Oryzias latipes: one gene and its partner. The protein of the gene in region 2 purifies or fractionates together with the protein of the main gene of each other region. This does not show direct contact. Links are inferred from orthologs where the notes say so. Each region holds a gene or a part of one and is shown on either strand. Other genes may lie near its edges.

What was found.
Region 1: the proteins of cdk7 (region 2) and ercc2 purify together in Homo sapiens (affinity purification with mass spectrometry; 10 studies listed by BioGRID and IntAct, counting the BioPlex papers as one, with this or other methods). This does not show direct contact. The link is inferred for Oryzias latipes from reciprocal best matches to the Homo sapiens genes CDK7 and ERCC2.

The regions. Positions count from the first base shown.
Region 1 is NC_019871.2:4,138,360-4,148,187, reverse strand, and holds the end of ercc2 (general transcription and DNA repair factor IIH helicase subunit XPD), read right to left. Parts: intron 9,423-9,828; coding exon 9,289-9,422; intron 9,224-9,288; coding exon 9,055-9,223; intron 7,608-9,054; coding exon 7,489-7,607; intron 7,401-7,488; coding exon 7,331-7,400; intron 6,891-7,330; coding exon 6,821-6,890; intron 6,539-6,820; coding exon 6,437-6,538; intron 6,348-6,436; coding exon 6,284-6,347; intron 6,210-6,283; coding exon 6,088-6,209; intron 6,017-6,087; coding exon 5,924-6,016; intron 5,860-5,923; coding exon 5,787-5,859; intron 5,718-5,786; coding exon 5,647-5,717; intron 4,895-5,646; coding exon 4,751-4,894; intron 4,684-4,750; coding exon 4,540-4,683; intron 4,472-4,539; coding exon 4,379-4,471; 3' UTR 4,234-4,378; downstream 1-4,233. Other genes in the region: kinesin light chain 1, read left to right, coding at 164-263, 332-503, 584-650, 751-834. UniProt on the Homo sapiens protein: ATP-dependent 5'-3' DNA helicase. Component of the general transcription and DNA repair factor IIH (TFIIH) core complex, not absolutely essential for minimal transcription in vitro.
Region 2 is NC_019867.2:13,783,181-13,794,335, reverse strand, and holds cdk7 (cyclin-dependent kinase 7), read right to left. Parts: upstream 5,812-11,155; 5' UTR 5,755-5,811; coding exon 5,689-5,754; intron 5,420-5,688; coding exon 5,360-5,419; intron 5,265-5,359; coding exon 5,231-5,264; intron 5,148-5,230; coding exon 5,080-5,147; intron 4,905-5,079; coding exon 4,836-4,904; intron 4,119-4,835; coding exon 4,008-4,118; intron 3,888-4,007; coding exon 3,769-3,887; intron 2,252-3,768; coding exon 2,152-2,251; intron 2,083-2,151; coding exon 1,996-2,082; intron 1,898-1,995; coding exon 1,748-1,897; intron 1,347-1,747; coding exon 1,208-1,346; intron 579-1,207; coding exon 550-578; 3' UTR 194-549; downstream 1-193. UniProt on the Homo sapiens protein: Serine/threonine kinase involved in cell cycle control and in RNA polymerase II-mediated RNA transcription. Cyclin-dependent kinases (CDKs) are activated by the binding to a cyclin and mediate the progression through the cell cycle.

The DNA.
Region 1 (9,828 bases), on a different chromosome or scaffold from region 2:
CTGGACATTTCCAGAGAATTAACCTGGTCAAGACCTAGATGCCGTTGATTTGTTTGCCGCACAGCTAGTTAACGTTACTAACAGTCTAAAGCACGAGGTAAGGCAGGTTACCGATGTGAACACTTTGCATCGTTAAAACAAATGTTATTGGTCTCCCATTCAGGCATCATGCTATCTGAAACAGGGGAAATACAGACAAGCTGAAGCTCTCTACAAAGAGATTCTGACCAGAGCTCACGAGAAGGAATTTGGATCAGTGGAAGGTAGGGTAACATGGTACCTATATGCGGTCTCTCTTGTTCCTGCATGAACGCAGCTCCTTTTCCTCCAGGTGACGGTCATCCCAGCTGGTCAGGAGCCGAGGATGGCGGTTCTGTGCCGGAGGGACTGAGGCGCAGCGGCTCCTTTACCAAACTCCGGGAGTCGATACGCAGAAGCAGCGAGAAACTGGTCCGCAAGCTCAAAGGGGTAGGAATAGAGGAAAGCACCCCAAGGCATGCTGGGTAAATACTCTGTTAGGCAATGTTTTGTCTCATATACCAGCAACTCTGTAAAGTATCTTTGACTTGTGGGGCTTTTCTAGGATGAAGAGGGCAAACTCCCTCAATGTGCTGAACGTTGGGACCAGAGACGGTCAGAACAGCACGCAGGTTATTGCATTTTTTTTTTAAACGCAATCGAATTTTCAGGAACCTTCAGTTCACATTTACACATATTTATTTAAACGTTTGTTTTTGTTTTTCCCCTCAGTCGAAGCATCTGGCAGACAGTCGAGTCCAAAGCTCCAGCACACAGAGTCTGACCAGAAGGAGCTCGTTGGGTGGGATCAGCTAACACTGAAAACACTTCCTTCAGGTTTCTGGAGTTTTAAATCAGAGACTGAACCAGATCCATGTTCTTCTCCAGATTCAGCTCATTTATTCCTTTCTGTTTGTATGTAGGTCAACACGAAAGGTAAAGAAAAAACATCCATGAATTTGCGTTTTAATTTCTAAACTACATCAAAGAAACAGAAAAAATAGAAATATATTTATTTATTTAAACTTCCAGAAGACAAACACGTAAAAAAACTTCAATCATGTTTGCTTTTTGCCTTTTTCAGGACATTTTTCCAACTTTCACCAGCATCTTTTGTCAATGTAAAGTTAAGAGCTGGAGTAGTTTGACTTATTATCTTACTATGTTAGGTTGAGATGTTAGAGGATCACTAAAATAATGTATTTACTTTAGGCACAAATGTGAAAAGGTGTGGCAACAAATACTGAAATATATCAATCATGCAGTCATATTTCGTCCTGATCACTTGAAACACTCAGTAAATCAATGCATTCGATGTGAAAATTAGGCAAACGAGTCTTTTAAACAACACAATGTCATCTGCATAACAACTGACATTTTTGGAAATTGCTAATCTTACATTTTGACTTAACTTGCTGCTGTCTTTTAGGCCAGTGGTTCCCAACCTTTTAAGGCGCCACGGAGCGCTTTGATGTCAGACAATATTTTCAAGGACTGGGCTGCACTAGGCTGAAGTTGGACTTCGTTTTATTTGGCTTCTAATTAAGTTAGAAGCTGAGCGGAATTTTCACATGAAAACCATCCTACATGAAATCTAATATAAAATAGACATTTTGAAAATGTCTGTTGGCGTTTTATAGATGGGAAAGCTTAAAGCGTTAAAGCGGAAACTAAAATAAAAAATAAAATAAAAAAATCTTACACCAACTTGTATTGTCTGAATTTTAAAGTGTGGCAGACTAATGCCTCCTTAATAAAATGAGAAAACCAATGATAGACGGAAAAACAACTTTTTTAGCAGTAACTTTGTAATATTATGCAAATTATGCAGAGTAAATCCAATATTTTAGTTTTTGTCTGTTAAATACGTATGTTTTTTCTTTTTTTTTAAGTTAAAGACTCTTCTGTTTCCTCTTTAAGTCTTTTCTGTGAGAAGAAACTTTTTTATTTTAACTAACTTTGCTTAGCTACTTTATAAAATTAGTACGGTAGATGGATTCATAACACATGACAGCGACTTCAAAAGCGTCAAGAATGAGTCATAGACGGAAGAGAAACCGACAGTTTAACAAAATACAACTTCCTTCAAAATAATATGAAAAAACAAATGTAATCTAAGTACTTTTGTCTTGGCAGGTGGGTACCGGTCTGCGACTTGGGGGCCACTGGTTTAGGCAACATTTCTTTTAATATTAGAGAAATAACTTTGCACGTTTTCTACTTGTTATTCTTGTAAATAGACATTTAGTCTATTTGTTAAACACAAAACTTGGAGACAAACAAATGGTGGATTTACCTTTTCTAACCTGACAGAATGTAAAACCATTTCAGCTCGGTTCAGCATCAGGCCTTTAAGGATGAAGATCACGTCCTAATGTTGTCAGACGTGGATCGTTTTTCTCTTGCTTGGACTTTCCTGAACATTGATGAGTTGGAACTAAGATGATGGAGCTGCAGCAGATGTGACTGTGGACTAGAATGTTTCTGCACATTCCAAACATGCAAACATCAAATGTTCTGTAGAACTTTCCTTGTATTTAAGTATTTTTATATTTCTGACATAATCTGGGGGCAAGAAATGTTTTTAAATGAGTCGTTTCTGTGTGAAAGTAGCTTTTTTTCCCACAAATATGAGCTAAACTGAAGGATTAGCATTAAAATGTGTTTGTATTTTGTTTGTATTTTGTGTTTTTGATGAGTTTAAAGAAGATGAATGTTTGACCGTCAGTAAAACGGTGGACCCCCATATCATAGACAAGTGAAACCTTTACTGTTACGCAATAATACAAAGAAAATGTGAACAAACTGGACTCTTTACTTTTAATCCTTTTGTGAAATTGTCTTTTCGTTTTAGCTCTAAATAGTTGCTGAAAATGTATTTTATCTGTTTAAGACTTTAGACTAGAGCCAAACAACTACAAAAAGGTATGCACAGTAACCCTTGTGCTATCCTAGGCACTTTACCATTGGGAGTTGGGTCATCTAGACCAGCGTTTTTCAACCAGTGTGCCGCGGCACACTAGTTTGCCGTGAGAGATGGTCAGGTGTGCCGTGGGAAATTGCCCTCATTAACTGATCTAAAAACATTTCCCATTTCCAGGATTTCAGCTCTCTGTTCATCCAAACAGGCCCTGATAAAACACTGAGGAGTTAGGAATATAAAAGATCGTAAAATACTTTTTCTTTGTTTTTATTTGATTCTATTAAAGACATTTTGATAAGAATGACGGCACCGCAATTCAGCTGCAGCTCCGGCTGTATTTTGGAAAAGTCCCGTCTCCACCAATCATTCTTGAAGGCTTAATCACATGTCATCAGTCTGACCAATCAGAAGTGGTTAAAGTATTCACTTCCTTGTTCCGATTCTGCTGATAATGTCGCTCAGTTCCACCAAAAATAGCAGCTAAAGCTCGTTTTTAGCGGTGTAGCTTTCCACAGAATCCGGTGTCAGACCGTGGAACAAGTGAACAAAACCATGAAGCTCAGAGACGCGATCTCCGCCGGCCGTTTAATGCACTACATCTCCCATGATGCATTGGGTTGTGAGAGTGACAACGCACAAGGAGATCTGTTGTTAAACGTCTTGTAACCAACGAACACACTTCAAACTTTTTTTAAATCTTCTAACTTAACTTTTATTGCACCTTTTAGAAAAACAGCTGCAGTTTCCAGCTTTTTCTGCAACAATTATCTCTTTGAAATGCATGTGAGATTGTGGAGGGAGGGGCTGTAGATCAATACAGACTATGAGTTTCTCCTTTTTTTTTTTCATTTTTGGATGCTGGTGTGCCGCTGGATTTTTTTTAAGGTTAAAGTGTGCCGTGGCTCAGAAAAGGTTGAAAAACACTGATCTAGACCCACTAGACAGTCCTCTGAACCTTTTTTCTTCAATGATTTGTGATCTTCACTGGTGTCCATGGATTACATGAAATCTTTCCATCTTCATCCACCTTTGTCATGGTAGGGAGAACATGTCAATGTAAGGGGGGGAGGGTCATCTAAGATATTACAAGGGCTAGTGGGTCTAGATGACCCAACTCCCAACATTAAAGTGCCTAGGATAGCACAAGGGTTAATGCTAAGTGTCAGGCAGGGCAGTTTTGATTCTTTGGGATGACTTGTGGATTTGAACCCACAACATTCCAGTTTCAGGGCAGACACTCTTCCACACGGCCACTGAATGGGGTCAACAGCCCTAGAAACCCTGTCAAATCGTTTTATGAAGAATACAAAGTTTATTTCTTCAACAAACATATCAAAAATGTTTTATTTACAGTCTGTATGACAGACAGAATGGTTTAAAGAGGGTTTTTTTTTTTAAGCAGCCTGGTCCATCAGGGCGTTGCTATGGCGACCACCTTCACGCCTGGTGAGCAATCTGGGCAATTTTCTTCAGCATGTCCTCCGACTGCAGCTGCTCCAGCGTCAGCAGAGACAGACCCAGCTGGTCCTCCTGCAGAGGGACAGCAGACGCGGTGACGTAACCCGCAGAGAAACACGCCGGCGGTCCGGCGGCTTTACCTGGCGGAAGGGCTGGGCCATCTGCCGCAGGAAATGCTTGGACAGCTGGACGGTCTCGTCCACCGTGAGGTTCAGACTGCCGTCGCTGATGTGCTCCTGGATCCAGCGGGGCAGCTTCCCTCGCTTATCGGCTCGGGCGTATCGCTGCGGGCCGCAGAGCTTTTAGGCAGGACTGCAAACGCCTCGCGCCTCGCCGACGACCGTCACTCACCTTGTCGGCGAAGATCATGAGGCCGTAGTCGGTCTTCCCGCGGATGGCCCGGCCAACACACTGAGCGGCGTGGCGCATGGCGTCAAACGTCAGGAAGTCGTTCTCTCTGATCTGGAACTGGTCCCTGAGGTACTCCAGTCGCGCCTGGAGCCAAAAAACGCAGGAATGTCACATTTTAAGTTGAACGAAAAATGTTGGAATTTTTTTCTGAAGGAGATTTTTCTGTTTAAAAAAAAAGATGATTTTATTTTGAAGGATTTTGTCTAAAGGGATTTTTTTTTTGTTTCTTGATTCTTTTTTTTTTCCATTTAATGATGAAAATATTTCAACAGAATTGCTAGTTATTATTCATTTTTGGGGGGAAAGATGCATCAACTTGATCTGAGAGATTTATTTTAGTTATTTGTTTTCAACCTAAATAAATGCAGACAAACATTCTCACTGGGGGTCGTTTAGTTTTAGGAGCTGTTTATATATATATATATATATATATATATATATATATATATATATATATATATATATATTTTTTTTTTTTGGTTTTTGATTTTATAAAAAGTTCCATTTTAATTCCAGGAGGTTGTTTTTTTACTTTTATTGCAGTAATATTTTAATCCTTTTTTAAACATTTTCTGTTCTTTTGTTGTTTTCTTTTGAACGTTTTCTTTTCTGTCATCAAAGTGACTTAACAATAATTTGAAACCCGGTTGAAGGTTTATGACCTTTTTGATGTTTAATTTTTGGGAACTGAAAGAATTCACAAACTTTGCTTCAGGTTCACTTTTTGAGTTTTGGCATAAATCCTAGAAACGGCACATTTTTTATTTATTTATTTTATCGGCGTCTTTCTCCAAACTGTGAAAAAGGGTGGTTCCGACCGGATTCTGCGTTCTGACCTTCAGGATGCGGCTCTGCGTGTAAACATAAGGAACTCCGAACATGATGACGGCGCGGCCAAAGTGATGCACTGGAAAAAAATAAAAAACACGGATTCACCATGAAAGCCTAAAAACCGGAACCTCTGTGGAGGATTTACCGAAATCGATTCCCTCGGAGACCTTCCCCCTCGCCACCGACAGCAGGATGGCGCCTCTGCCGTTCTCGCAGGCCTGCAGAGGAACTCGGGAAGTTCAAGCGGAAACGTGGGAGCTGCGTTCGGCAGGAGAAGCTCACCTCCTGGTATTTCTCCAGAGCCATGCTGGTCTCCGCTGCATCCTGAGTCTCGATGAAGATCAGCTTGTTCCTCTGGATGTTCTCCAGGATTCCCTGCGAAGCCACCAAAGGCGTGGAGGAAAAGGTTCTCCGCCGAGGCGCCGCTCAGACCACGGTTCCCTTACCTGCTCGTACCACGACGCCACGATGTTCTCCATGTAGACGTAGCTGGTGAAGAACGCCACGATCCCGTCGGGGACGATCGCCGACATCTCCAGGAGCAGGTTGCCATAGTTACGAATCACAGCTATGAAGCAAAAAACAAACTCCTGAATGTTCCCTCCATCTTCTGCGGGAAAAACCATGAAGTTCTGGACCCACCGAAGTCCTCCCTGGTCTCAAACTTGGAGCTGAGCGCCACCTGGTCGTTCCCTCTGCCCACGATCTGAGCCAGACGACAGAGGTGAGTGAGGAAGAGGAGGAGGAGGAGGAGGAGGAGGAGCGACCGCCAGCGCCACAACAGCACATACGCACCAGCGGACACAGGCAGGTCCGCGCCAGCGTCATGGTGAAGGACGCCATGGTAACGGGACGGAAGTCCAGGATTTTAGGATAGATGTCCAGAGGGGAGAGGGTCTGAGGGGAGGAGGAAAACTCCATGAAAACCCCAAACATGGGGGGAAAAAAACGACAATTATAGTGAAATTAAGAATTTATGATGAAAAATAAATAAATAAACAGTAAAATCAGGAACATAAACAAGCAGAAAGTCTCAGGTTGATTAAATTAGTATATCTCAAACATTTGACTTTTTTCTGATCTAATCAACTGAACAGAAAATATGAAAATGGAAAGATCATGAAGTTTATTGAAATATTCCATTTAGTCGTTTCCTGATGTGCAGACGGACGGACGTACCCCGGACGTGATGACCACGGACTGAAACCTCTGGAAAACGGGTTTGATGGCGATAGACGGGTCCATGCAGCTGTGAGGGCAGAGAACCGGATCAGAACCGGAGCAGCGGCTTTGAGCACTTCACACTTCCTGTCATGAGTTTGCAATGTTGAACTGGGACCAACATTTATTCAGATTTCTGAGGTTTTCATCATGTTTGTCCCAAAAATGATGAAAACCTCATGATTCCATGTAAAAGCTTCTTTATCCTTGATGCTGAAACTGGTTTGTGGATCTTTTAATCAAAAATTTGAAATTTGACTTTTTTTCTTTGGGTTTTTGTGCTGAAAACTTATTTTTACCTGCAACTTGTTGAAGGTTAAAAAGGCTCAGAGTTGACACTTTCTGCTGGAGTTTCTCATCTATTATACATCTTTTATAAATTATATTCTATATAGCATCTATATTCTATAAAAACGTAAACAGCCGGGAGTCCAGAGGGAAACGTGCAGAAAAACGAAGCATTTCTACCTGAAGTGGAGGACGGGGTTGGCGATGGTGGGAGTTCTGTCGTCGAACGGCTCGATGATGATGGTGAAACCTTCAGGGAGAGGAAGACAGAGCACAGTCTGCGGTGAAAAGCCCATCCGGACCTCCGGCTTCCTGCGGGGATCTGAGGCGAGCAGAACCTAAGCTGTAGGTGCTGACGAGAGTCGCAAAGTTGGAGATGAGGGTGACGGCGGAGAAGTCTGCGATGTCTGCGATCTCCAGAGTTCGCAGCAGCGACTGAAGCCTTTCTGCGCAAAACCTGAGCAGGCGAAGGAAAGAAATAAATAAAGGTGAGTGGTGAAGGAGGAGAAACGGAGCTCCCTAGAGGTTTTCACAGAACGGTCTGATGTCCGTTTGTGGAAAATAAACACGAAAGAATAACTTCAAGATTCTGAGGGCGAGAAAAACATCATCACAGGATGAGACGAGTCGGTTCTTCTGCTGCTTTGGATTTCTGTATAGACAGGATTAAAAAGTCTGTCACACAGCAACTACATACATTTTGTGCATATTGCACAGATGAAAATTGGTCATATGTGTGGAAAAAGTGAGAGAAGTTTGAGTCTTTAGGTGACATTTGCACAGATGTATCAGGAATGAACCACGCTAATCAACGTAGAGCATGAACCGTGTGATTATTGAGCTGTTTAGATGCAATTCGTTAGTGAATTGTGGGTCAATTACGCTATTTTAATGAGATTTGTGCGCCGTATACCTGATATATATATATATATATACTGAAAAGTCCGTTAGACATACGTGGAACGGTCGCGGAAAGCAACAAATCTGTGAATCTCGCAAAAATCACGCACAGTTGTGTAAGATTTATGTAATAATTTAAGATACGTAGAAACTGTGTAATTCTCATCCAGCTCAAAACCAAACTCTGGTAAAAATCCATCGGCTGAAATCCTTGACTGACGTCTGCGCGCGTCGACAAATGAGGAACACGAGAAACTCCCATCACGTATGAACCACGAAAACGTCCACAGCGGCTGTGAGACACGGCCGATATTAGATGGACAGGACAGACAGATTGAGCTCCAGAACGTTTCCACAAATCGATTCTCACAAACAGCAGCAGCAGAAACGCATGCAGGTTTTTTTTAAACCTTTTCACAGCTGAGCGTTAGCTCCAATCTTTACATTTCTTTGACTACCTTAACTCTTCAACCGTTTACGCAATGATCGTAATTCCAGCGGATTCTGGTGCGGTGAACAGAAGTCTTGTGCTGACATGCAACACTTTATACAAAAAGGTCGGCTCTTTGTGGGCGCCGCCTATGTGATGATGTCATCCGAGACGCCTCGGCAGAACTTTTGCAAAGATGGACGTGCATATGTTCATAAAAAAGGAAAGCGTTTAGACGATCACCGCTAGCTCCACGGAGAAAGTGGGCGTGTGTGTTAGCCTGGGGGCGGGGCTGGCACTGCAGACTCTTCCTGGAAGGGGCTGGTCCTCACTTTGTGATGTCACAATGCGAAGACCCGCCCGTTTTCGTTGGTTGGGAGGAGCTGCAGGTTTTTAGAGGAATGCTCAGAAATGCGTAAACGGACCAACATACTGTTTATTGTGAGGAATGAACATTAAAATACACCTAAAAGTTGGTTTTGAATGATACCGACGCTCTAAATGGTGAAACAGAAAATCCGTGTTTCCTGAGAAAACTGCGGCCCCTCCCCCGTGTGACCTGAAGCCGACTGACCTGAGAGGTTTGCGGTCGATGCAGACCTTCTCGAAGATGTCTTTAAGGAACTGGGGAGCGCTCTCCTGAACCACATGATGGACCCGCAGGCGGGACTTCAGGTACTCCAGGAATCGCCGCAGGAAGCCCAGGAAGTGCTCGGCGGTGCGAATGGAGCCGGGGACGGCCTCTGGCGGGGAGAAGCGTTAGTCTGAGTTCTGAAACCAGAACCCCACGGCCAGACCGAGCTCCAACCTTGCAGGATTTCATCAGGTAAAACCGGATTTGCCAGGTAGACGTCCGTCTCCCTGGCAACGTTGGCCTCCTTCAGCCCTTCCACCAGCCGCCGGTACTCCTCCCTCAGCTTGGCGGCATCCGTGTCCTTGATCCTGCAGATGAGAACGAATCGGATGAGAGGAGCTGGAATGAAGCACACATGACCGATTCCTGAAATTATTTAACAGAAATTCTCAGATTATGGTAATAAAAACACGCCTATTTGCTTTTATTTCTCCATATGGAGGACCAGCTGATTAACCGACACTTCCAGGATGAAGAAAAAATCCTTGAACCTAGAGGCAGGAAACTTCAGGATTTTTCTCTTTAATTCAGTTTGGATCAAACAGAAGCGTCTTATTTTTCCACCCAAAGATGTTTATAGAAATAAGAAAAAAAACAGTTTTGACTCCAAGCTCTGATGTTTTCAGAATCAACATTTGAATTTGATTTCCTTTCATAATTGAGCTTTTTTTTTTTTTTAATATGGATGAGTCTGATTTATGGTTAATGACAAAC
Region 2 (11,155 bases):
TAAATACTGATCCACACACATATATAGTGCCCTCTAGTGGTTGTTGCTATTTTTTTTAATTGAATCACACATAAGTCGCACCAGAGTATAAGTCGCACCAGCACGCCAAACTATGCTAAACTCTGAAAATACAGTATTTTGTATTTAATCATTTTATGTGAAGGAACTGGGGGGGAAAAAAAGACAAAGTATATTTTATCTGCTTATTTACTATTTATTGGTTTAACATAGAAAAAATAAAAATAACATCCATGTGCAGGGAGTGAGTCTGGTAGCCTACTTGTTTTAAACTCAAGTAACATTAATAAAAATATTTTATCACAGTCCCAAAGTTTAGGCATCATGAAGAACCAGAACCAACGGTTCTGACTACAGTCTCTGTTGCACCTTAGTACTGCTGGATGCTGCAGCACCTTGAGGTGTTATGCCACAGAGACAGCATCATCTGCTTTTAAGCTGCTTTCTGTTCCATCCAGGAAACAGTCCTGAGTAAAGCAAGAAGCCACATCTCGTTGTAGACATTCCCTCCCGTCTGTGAATCACTTCTGGTCAGAAAACGAGCTTCTTCTTCATTACGGCTGAAAATAAAAAAACAAACAACATGTTAAATTAATTAAAGTAAAGCATTTATAGATACAACCACTTGACATCAAGTCCGTTTTCTTTTCTATGCATTCACATGCTAAAAGTCCAGAGTTTTTATCTACAGTGTTCTTTCTGAAAGTCTCTTTGAGACAGGATAGAGCAGACCAGAGAATATGTAGTCATTATCCAAACCACAGGAGGAGCACAAAACAGGCTTTGAACCTCCCAGTTTCACCAAGAAACCAGCCCTCCCCACCACTCACTGAACTGCAGTGTTTGCTCTACCATATTCTGAACTTCTAACTTTAACTCAGCCAACACCCACTAAATGGCTGGGTTTGGTTTAGAGGTATGCTGCCTTTTAAAGGTTACCATGTGGACTGTGAGAAGCCAAACTATTTACTATTCTTTCTGAAGTTTGGGCTTTCACGGGACATTTAGGAACTCTTTTAGACCCAAACGTGCTGCTCACACCAACAGAATAAATAAATATCAAAGATATGTACAGGTGATCTTTGTTTATTACACAAATATCGGTAAATCTGGCTCAGGGTGGTCTTTAGAGGATTAAGGATGAACTTAAGACTATAAATATAAAAAGAAGTCATAAATCGATCTTTACTTGTTTCAAGGCCTTCAATTTTCCTCTTTAGCCCAACAGTTTCCTTTTCCCTCAAAGCCTCAGCCGAGCAGTTTGGTCTGGGGAGCTGTGGACCCGGTGTGGGTCCAGGCCGATTACTGAAGTACTTCATCTTTAGAGCCTGGGCAAAACAAAACAAACAACAATGGATGTACACTATATCTGCAGGTATCACTGCTGTGCCTCTCATACTTGTTTCCATATATATTATGTGTGGTTTTACAAAATAAATCCTCTCATGAAAAATCCAAAAGTGTTTTTCTGTGTCTTCATCTTTTTTGATTCTTAAAAGAAATATAAAAAGAAAACCTAATTTGACATTTACAGAATACGTTTTATTGTGAAGCCATATAATTCAGCGTAAAATAAACCTGCTACCTTTAATGAAGCATGTTCTAAAGATCTTTTATTTCTGGTTTTTAGATTTAAACAAACTTTTTTAAACAACATGATCTTAATAAAACTGGCACAATTTTTTTTTTTAAATGAAGAGGAGCAGCTGCACTGTAACATGGCATTTACCTGTGTGGCTGTGGTCCTGGTTGTGGGGTTGAAGGTAAAGAGGCCCTGTAGTAGCTCAAGTAAATCATCCCCAGCTGCACTAAATATATGTTCCAGCGGTGTGCCAGGAAATATCTTGAAGGACACAAAGTCTGGCAGACTACTCATTCCCTGCAGAGACGGTTGACAAACAGATGTTCGCAAGGAGTTTTACCTCTCTTAGGACAGTCTCATCTGATATATAAAGGAAAAAAAAAACTGAAACCAACAGGCCATGTTTCATCTGTGGCGGTTCCAAGAGCCTCGAAGATTTTGGTCAGCTGATCGAGATCAGAGTCTCCAGCAAGGAATGGTATCTGCAGAGGGGGAGACAATCATTTAATAGATCAGCGCAATGGATGGATATTTATGTGAAGTTTATGTACCCGAAGAAGCAACTCTGCCAGGATGCATCCCACCGCCCACATGTCAACGCCAACCCCATACATCCTGGCACCAAACAGGAGCTCAGGGGAGCGGTACCACCTAAGGAAGCAGTTGGGGAAAACGGAGCAAACAGTCACGTTAAGAGGAACAAAACTCTCAGATGTTTCCTCCCATTGGAGCCAAGTCTAACCGAGCAGCACTCATTTATGGCTTCTTTCCACTAGTTCATAGCTCATGGACAGCTTTCTGTTACCTCACTGGCCCACTTGTGTAACAGCTTGCAAATGAAATATTAATCAATCAAACTTTATTTATGTAGCACTTTTCATGTAAAAGTATAACACAAATCCTCCACTAATGTGTTTAACTCTGAGCAAAAATGTACAGCTGCAGCACCCCATAGATTCAAACACACAACAGCAATGGGTTCACTTAACTTTAGTTAAGTGATCAAAGGAGACAAATAATTTGATCTTTTATTTAGTAATCTAGCATTTATACTTTCATTTAACATGGAAAATCATTTCTGAAAAGAATCTGCAGTATCTGAGCAAACTCAAAGACAGAAAATGTTACGTTTCAGCTGAACTTCGACTGTGAAAGCCAGTCACAATTCAATCCCCAGAATTTAAAATATTAACATTATATTAGTCTACTCATCTGAAATATAATTTCTATCTAAATGGAAGAAAATCTTGTAATTGGTTGTAGTTTCATTTGGTGGAACTTCAGGTATAAGTTAAACTGGATGGGTTTTCTTTAGGTCAATTTGATCTTTCATTTCTTAACAACTCTTTTGAAGTGACTAAAAACCTGTCGGATTAAGATATTAAGATAAGATACAACTATTTTTATAATTTAAAAAAAAGATTATTCATTTTTCATTTAATTTCATTTTATAAATAATAATTTGAGAAAATGATCTCAAAATGACAAAAGTGTCTTAAATAAATCCAGAGGAACATTTGATGAAGTTAATGTGTGATTGACCTAATGCTGGAAGTCAGAAGCTGAGAACCATCTCACATGTGAAAAAACCTCAATAAATACATTTGTAACACAGGAAACTTTTCCCAAAAGCAGCTTTAAAGCCCAAGGCAAGAGTCATTTGGAACCGCCACAGAGGTTAACTCCATATTTTCTTTGAAAGTAAAGCTTTTGAACACATTATTTACTATTAAATAACACATTTTAACATTAAACCTACTTATATTTTATCATTTTTCTGAATGAAAACAATTTATTCTTAAAATCTTTTTTTTTAAACGTAAACATTGAGATATGAACAATATTCAGGCAGCTTTGGTCTTGCTTTTCTAAATTGCTATTAAAGAGCAAAAGAAAAGAACACAGACAAAATTTCTTATGCAAGTATTTTGTCACCTTTTTGTTGTCTATATTTCCGCAGAATACATTTCTCTGCAGACTTCCTTTACAAGTCGGTCGTCACTCTGAAGCGCATTGAGACGACTGTTGTTGTGATTTAGGGCTATATGAATAAAATTGAATCGAATTGAACTCTGCTGTGTAGCTGATGACAGCAACTCTCTCCGCTCAAAAGGTAAAAAGTAAAGCAAAAGCTAAAAATTCTTAACAGGTTCTTAGTTTGCACAGACCTGGTAACAACTTGATGTGTGTAGACTCTGTTAGGGCTCCCAAAAGCTTTGGCCAAACCAAAATCTGCCAACTTCAAGACTCCGCTACCGTCTAACAGCAAATTATTGGGTTTCAGATCCTGCAAACAGAATTAATAAATTACTTAGAATAAACAGAAAAACCAAACATTACAAAAGCATGCATACCATGAACAGTATGAAAGTATGAAAAGTAGTGTATGAAATACAAGTGCACTAACCCTATGTAGAATCCAGTGCTGGTGCATGTATTCTAATCCCTGTAGAGTCATAAGGATGTAGGCTTTGATGTTGGCTGGAGTCAGCACCAGGCTGGTGTCTTTAATGACAACCTGTTATTAAAATAAAAAGGCAGTTAGAAAGAACCTTCCTGTTTGCTCCCAAGTAATCACCATCTATTAACATTTAATAACTTATTTTAGAAGTTATTAAAATTGTTATTAAAAGAAGAAGAAAAAACAATTTTAATAACTGTAAGCCATACTGAAAATGTATTTAGATTTCTTAAAAAGTATAATAAATAAAATGACAAAGGAGACACATGCAAATCAGCTAAGATTTGACTTAAAGATCAACACAGCAGGGCCCGTATGTTTTCCCTTTGTCGAATGTTGAGAAGCAAAGGCTGTTATCTCAATCAACTCATATTACCTGAAGTAATCATGTTAAATATGACTCAAATATTCAAGGTTTTCCTAGGTTGATATAAGATATGTCTCACAGTTTCCACCCTTCCTGCTTCGCTAATGTAAGCAGCTAATGGAAAAAGCTCAATGTGAGTGAAAGGCAGAGGGATATGCCCCCCCCCCCATCTTAGACCCTAACACATCAGAAATGGGTAAAATATGAAGATGAAAAGGAAGACAAATATAAGAATATATCTTTGATTTTGATTTGAAATAGTTTATTTCAAGCAATCAAAGAAAAAATAATGCACAAAACAATACAACCAGCAGTTTTACATTCATAAAAAGATGTATTAAACTTAGGATAATTAGACAGTAAATAAAAGATTGCTTGAAAGGAAGTGGATATAGACACATTCTCACCTCTAGATCTGTTTCCATGAAATCAAACACCAGACTAATGTTTGATTTATGCCCAAATGCATCCAGCAGCTACAAGAAAGGGAAATAAAAAGCACAGTTAGCATTAGACAAAATGTTTATTCACAACTAAGCAATAACATAAGCTGCCATTCAAATGTTTTTAGTAACATGACTAATAGACAGTACAGTTCCTCTAAATTGTAATTGTGTCTGTATGTTAACAGGAGCAAATTCAGTTCAATACCCCGATGATATTTGAATGATGCAGCTCCTGCAGCAATTTGATCTCTCGGAGAGCAGTTCGATTTATACCTATATAGGTAAAAAGAAGCACAAACAGTTGAAAAAACAACACCAGCTTTGTCAGTAACGACGTGCAGAAAGGCTGCACTTACCATCTTTAGCCTCAGTTCTGTGGCCTACTTTAATCTGAAAAGTAAACAAACAAAAGATACTAGTTTGTTGATAAACAACAACCCATAATAGACCATTTAAAAAGTACAATCACCAGGAAGAGCCCGTACCTTTTTAATGGCAACTATTGTGTCAGTCAATTTATCTCTGGCTTTGTACACAGTGGCGAACTAAAGAAGGAACAAAGAACATAATGTTTAGTTTCCCAGTCTTTTTTCTTTGTTTGTTTTGTCATTGTTGCTGATAAAGTGAAAGTATTATTATTTTTTAAATGGTCTAATTGTGTTTAAATAGCAGCATGGCCAGGTTGCTTTGTTGACATTAGGCATTGGCTAATGCTAGTTAGCTTAAGAGCTTTGTCTCGGCAGATATACAATACCAATACGGCTTTAAATAAAAAAAAACAGGTTTTAAATTACCATAACAGTTTCTGTCCTACCTGACCCTCTCCGAGAAAGTCCAGTTTCTCATACCGTTTGGATCTTGTTTTCACATCCACAGACATGTTAGCTAACTGTCAGTTTCGGTAAATGACACTTCCGGTCACGTTGAGGGTCCTCACAAACTGTTTCCGGGTGAATTAGCTTTAAATAAAACAAAAGCGCCACCTGTCGATTGAATTTGTACAACACAAGTCGTTTGTTTTGGAGCGCTCTTGTGTCTTGTTTTGTTTAAACATAAAATGAGATAATTATGTCATAAAGTATGTACCACTAGTGTGTCATAATAGATAATTGAATGCTGAAATAAGGATATTAATTTATGAGGAAAAATTAAAAGCAACTTTCATAACCCAAGTTCAACTTCACCATCCACTTTGACAATGCACTACTACACAAATAAATAAAGAATGAAAAAATGTTTTTACATTAAGTAGTGAAATTAAGTTTACTACAAGTACCCATGGTCTATTCTACAAGTTAGTCAGTATATTATAGTTACATTTTTAAATACAATCTAGGGTATATATTGTAAACTTAAAATGTTCCTGAAAGACACTAAATGTTCCGATTTAGTCTGGAGAAGTGTTTAATTATTTACAATTAGTACACTGTAAGTGCAGGGTATATAGAAGACTTACTATACTCATACTTATACTCAAGTAAACTTAATTAAAAAAACCTTCAAGTCCACTATTATTTGCTAAGAGTTACGAAAATGTCCTTAATTTGGTGGAGTGACAGCACATCAGTGTAACAATCCCAACTCAGTTTTAAGATTTAAAAACTCCAGCTGCTTTTGAAAAGATCTAAAAAGATTTCAGATTTGTTTAAAATAGTTTCTATGTTTGCTTACTTGTAGCCAATCTGTCCATAATATTCAAGTGTGTTTGTCCAAAAACACAATAGGCTCATGAGTAGATTTTAATGGCTCGATGTAGTGTGCACCACGGTTACATTTCTCTCCGTTTTTTTCTTTTTGCCATGCAGTTTCTCTCTTTTTATTTTGTTTTATTTTATTTGAGCAGTTTTAACATTGGTCCCTTGAGTGCCTCTTCTGTCAGTTAGGAAGATTTTGTGATCCATGCTCCACTGAGCACATCTCTACATCCCATCTCCATTCACAGTAAGATACCCTCACATCCCAGAGGATTAGGCACGGCTTCTCTCCTTTGACCCTCCTTGTCTCCGTGCCTGCACACAGCTGCACACACAATACACACTCACAACTGATTTTCATTTTAATGTGAGGTTGACAAGAGAAGTGTGAAGGACCAGCAGGCCTGATACACCCCTCATATGCACATTCCCAGTCTGACAGCACACAGATGTGGCTGACAGTATGTGTCTTTGCAACCAAGCAGAGAGAAATAGTGAGAAGAGAAGCTTTGCTGCTGCGCTCGAGCCTTCAGTGCCTTGGTCGTCAATATTTAGGGAGAAGAGTCAGCTAAGTGCGGGGAAACTCACAAATCAGTGGTAACACGGATTTAGATGACCAGCACTAAAGGAAATGCTGATCTCCTTTCATTGTGATGGGTTTTGGGCCCTTTTCGATGTCATTTACTTCTGGGCCCTGTGGTTTGTTCCAGTAAATCTCATGATGGGCAGCGCAGCTCACAAATTGGCTGTGTGTCACACAGGCAGATGGAGAGGCTGCTGAGCTAATGTGTGTGTACGCCCCTGTTTGCAGGCAGGAGGAGAGTGAAACCACAAAGCTGTTTATCAAGCTCATAGGAAGTGGGTGTTGTTGAGCGAGGACGTGTCGCACCACCACATCCTGCTGCTGGGAAGCAGCTTCAGATGGGACAGTGTTCACACAATGTACAGTAAACAACTAATGCAGGCCAGGTGTCTTTTTTGTTGTGTGCACATTAGTGTATTCGTGGTGTGCAGCTGCCCCATGCTGTGATTGCAGAGTCGTGATCATTTGTGGGTGAGGCTGTTTGGGTGGCCGCTGCGCAAAGTTTTTTTTAAGTCACTATGAACTGTCCTCTTGGTCGCCCCCACACATGCTCAGGAAAGTCACCACCAGTGCCCACAAACCATGAATGTCTCGTCAAGATGCGTACTGCAAGCTCTACAAAACTTATTGCAGCCTTGAGTGAGTTTCTTTGGGGGGAAAAGGGACCAAAATGCATATGCAAGTCAATGCAGAGTTTCTACAGATAGGCTATTCTTTTGTGAGGCATTGTTGATTATGCACACAATTAGGAAAAAAAACAACCAAAACATGAAGTTTGAGGCTATTTCTGCATCCGTAAGCTGTGAATGATTCAGCGCTACCTCCGTTTCATACACCTGCAGAGTCTTTGTCTTTGTTGTACTCTGAGAGTCTCAGGGGAAGTGGCAACGTTCCGTCATCTGGGGAGTTTTCCCCCTTTGTTTCTCACTGACTTTTTCACACCAACACACACTCTTACACGCGTACACACACAAAAAAACACGTTTGACCTGCAAGCGCTGTTATACTAACACAACAGGATGTTGTAGGGTGTATGTTTGAGGTGTGAAGGTTCATGCATACTTACAATTATTGTCTGATTCTCAGAGCTGATTATCACTAAATGCAGGTCCCAAAAGATGCTGCGACACTTTTAATCTGCTAAATACTGAATAGCACACAGGTCAGGGATTTAAACCCTCACTAAACTTCAAGTTTACCAGAACTTTTTTGTAAATGCAAGCTTTTCTGGCATGCACCATCCAGTGTGCCCAATTCAGTTCTTGCCAGTTGAAAAGTGTGACTGTGAAGCAGACAGAAGAAGGAAACATTATCTTCCTTGCTGCTGCATGTTTACACACAGACTCATCAAAATTGATGCTGTCAGTCCTGCATTAGATCTCAGTCTGAATAAAAAAGGAGGGCAGCATTTTTTTCTTCTTCTTCTTCGTCTTGTTTTTTCCGAAATTTCCTCCGGCACTTGAAGTAATACACTTGGGTTTGTGGGCTACATCAAGATGAGTTCACTTGATAGTTGAGCTCATAGACATTATGAAAATGTCCTTATAAGCAGCGGGGGGATGGGTGCAATGTCATCTCCTCACGCAGACAGAGCCAGCAGGGAATCTACAAACAAAAGCATTTAGGTCAGCTTTGTTGCTGTCGTTGCTTCAGTCTGAATAGGTTTCTTTTTATTCCTGCATCTTCTCTTAGACATCATTATCCCTTTCATTAGAACAGTCCCTATTGCATCCCCACATGGAGTCTTGAATTATATATCTTTATTTTGTGCCTCAAAACTTGCACCGCCAACACAGACTGCAAGTTTATTTGCCACAGAAAATGGTTGGAACTGCAATGAAGGAGACGCAAAAGGGATAGGCAGAAAGTGCACGGATTGAAAACCTTGTTGCCATGAGAACAAAAATATGTCTTGAGCAACTAAGGGCAGCAGGGAGTTCAAGACAGTCATCTCTGGAAGGTAAATGAAGGCGAGTCCGTTCTGATTTGTCTGCTTGTATCAGGAGCGGGAGATTTCTCCTGCAGCGGGTTATCCACAAAGACATTGACTTCATTAACCCCGCTAGGTTGCCAAAGCCCCAGTAATCAACCTCTTCATACGTCCCATTAACTTCTTATTGTATCTGAATGGCCTTTACTTTCTGCACCCATGCACACTCACATGTCATTTCACAGTGGGCGTTTGTATCTAAGTCACAGAAGTCTGTCTGGGTTTCCTGGCCTCCCCCTTGCACGAAGACAAACTCTGCCTCAGCCAACCCCCTCACCTCCATCGGTCTCAAAGGTCCCTTGGCTGCGATGACCCCACAGCTGCCCTGTGACATTAGTGGACTCTCCGAGAAAAACCCCTCATTGATTGCACATGAGCATCTCTCTCTTACAATGTCAGCTCAAGGTTGGCACATTGACTCTCTTCCCTCAGTGCAGTCAAGTGCTGCAGCTTTGTTAATAATATCAGTGAGGAGTCTCTTTTTTTTCATCTGTGCTGACTCCACTGCTCAGATTATTCATAGAGGCAGCAAGGCTATTATTCACACTCACCTTCTGAGTCATTTGTGGTTTCTTTCTCAGTTTGAATGTTTAACACCTTCATCTCCACTCCAAACTCTTTCCACAATAACCTTCAAGTATCGGTAGGTTTCATGTCACTTTTAAGGAGGGAAGCGTGTCTTTGGCATCCCATTCATAAGGGGAAAAAAGTTCCTTTGCACCATAAAAGAAAGAGAAATGAATGAACTGGGCCAGATCTCAATCTGTAAAAGAAACCCGGTTAAAAGGCTAGATCAGTCAGAGGGGTAAATGTTTTTTGTGCAGAACTTGACGAACGATAAATGATGCAGAAGATTTCCTGTGATGGTGAATGGAGGTTGAAACGATTATTCAGATATTTGGAGCACGCAGGCAGGAACATTGCCCTGCACTGCTGTCTCCTTCTTTCCAGTCATAATTCAATATTTACAGTTTAAGCTAGGAAACTGCTCCCTTTTGGCCTCCTCTATCTGGTAACCATGGCAACAGATTTGAAAAGAGAGTGTTGTCTTTATGTGTTGGCGAGCATGTGTGCGGCTGAGTGTAATCTCTAATGATACTCTGCAGTTGATGGGTTGTTAGGGAGCAGCTGTTGACCCCTTCGATCTCAGGGGTCTTTTTGTGCACTTACCCACATCTAAAATCAATGGCTGTGGACACACTGAGACACACTATACTCTATTCTGGACCTTATTTTTGGCTCAATTTAGTCAAATTCTTATTTTGATTTACTAATTTATTAAAAAATTACTTTAAAGTTTAAATCCCTGAGCTTAATTTCGATGAACAACTGCCTCAAATGCAGAGCTTCTGACTCTTTTCTAATTCAGAAAACCGCCATCATTATGATTTACTTTATTATCTATTTTAGAGAAGACCAGGTGAAATGTTTATTTCTGAAGGTTTTTATGCTGAAAATTGAATTGATATGAATTCAAAACTCTTTACGCATTCTCTGTTGGATTGCGGACAAAAGACTGGCAAGACCGAGAAAAACCTTGACATTTTTTTCCGTAAACTCTTCAGTGCCTGGGCGATGCGTTCGGTTTTTTTTGTCATTGTCAGAAGCCAGAACTCTCTCTTCCCCTCTGGTCACCGGCAGGAGACGTCCCTAGAGCTCTAGATACTACATCTCCCAGCAACCCCAGTGCACACTTCCTGGATGCCACGCACCTGACTCTCATGTACAATCACTCAGCATACTTGAGCACTGTACCGAGCCTCACTCGGTGCAAAGTCTTGTTTGTGCCACTCTGCCTTCATTACAGAGTGATATCTGGGTCTTATCTTCTGATCCTGACCCTGTTTCTGACTGTTTGCCTGCCGCCTGCCCTGACTCTTTCCTGGATCCTGACTACCCCGTCTCGACTCTGATGCTTTCATGCCCTTTACTGACCATTGCCTGCCTGACCCTGATTTAGCTTTGTGGACTTTTAGATGAGCTAATAAACCTGCTGCGTTTGGAACCAGCTCTT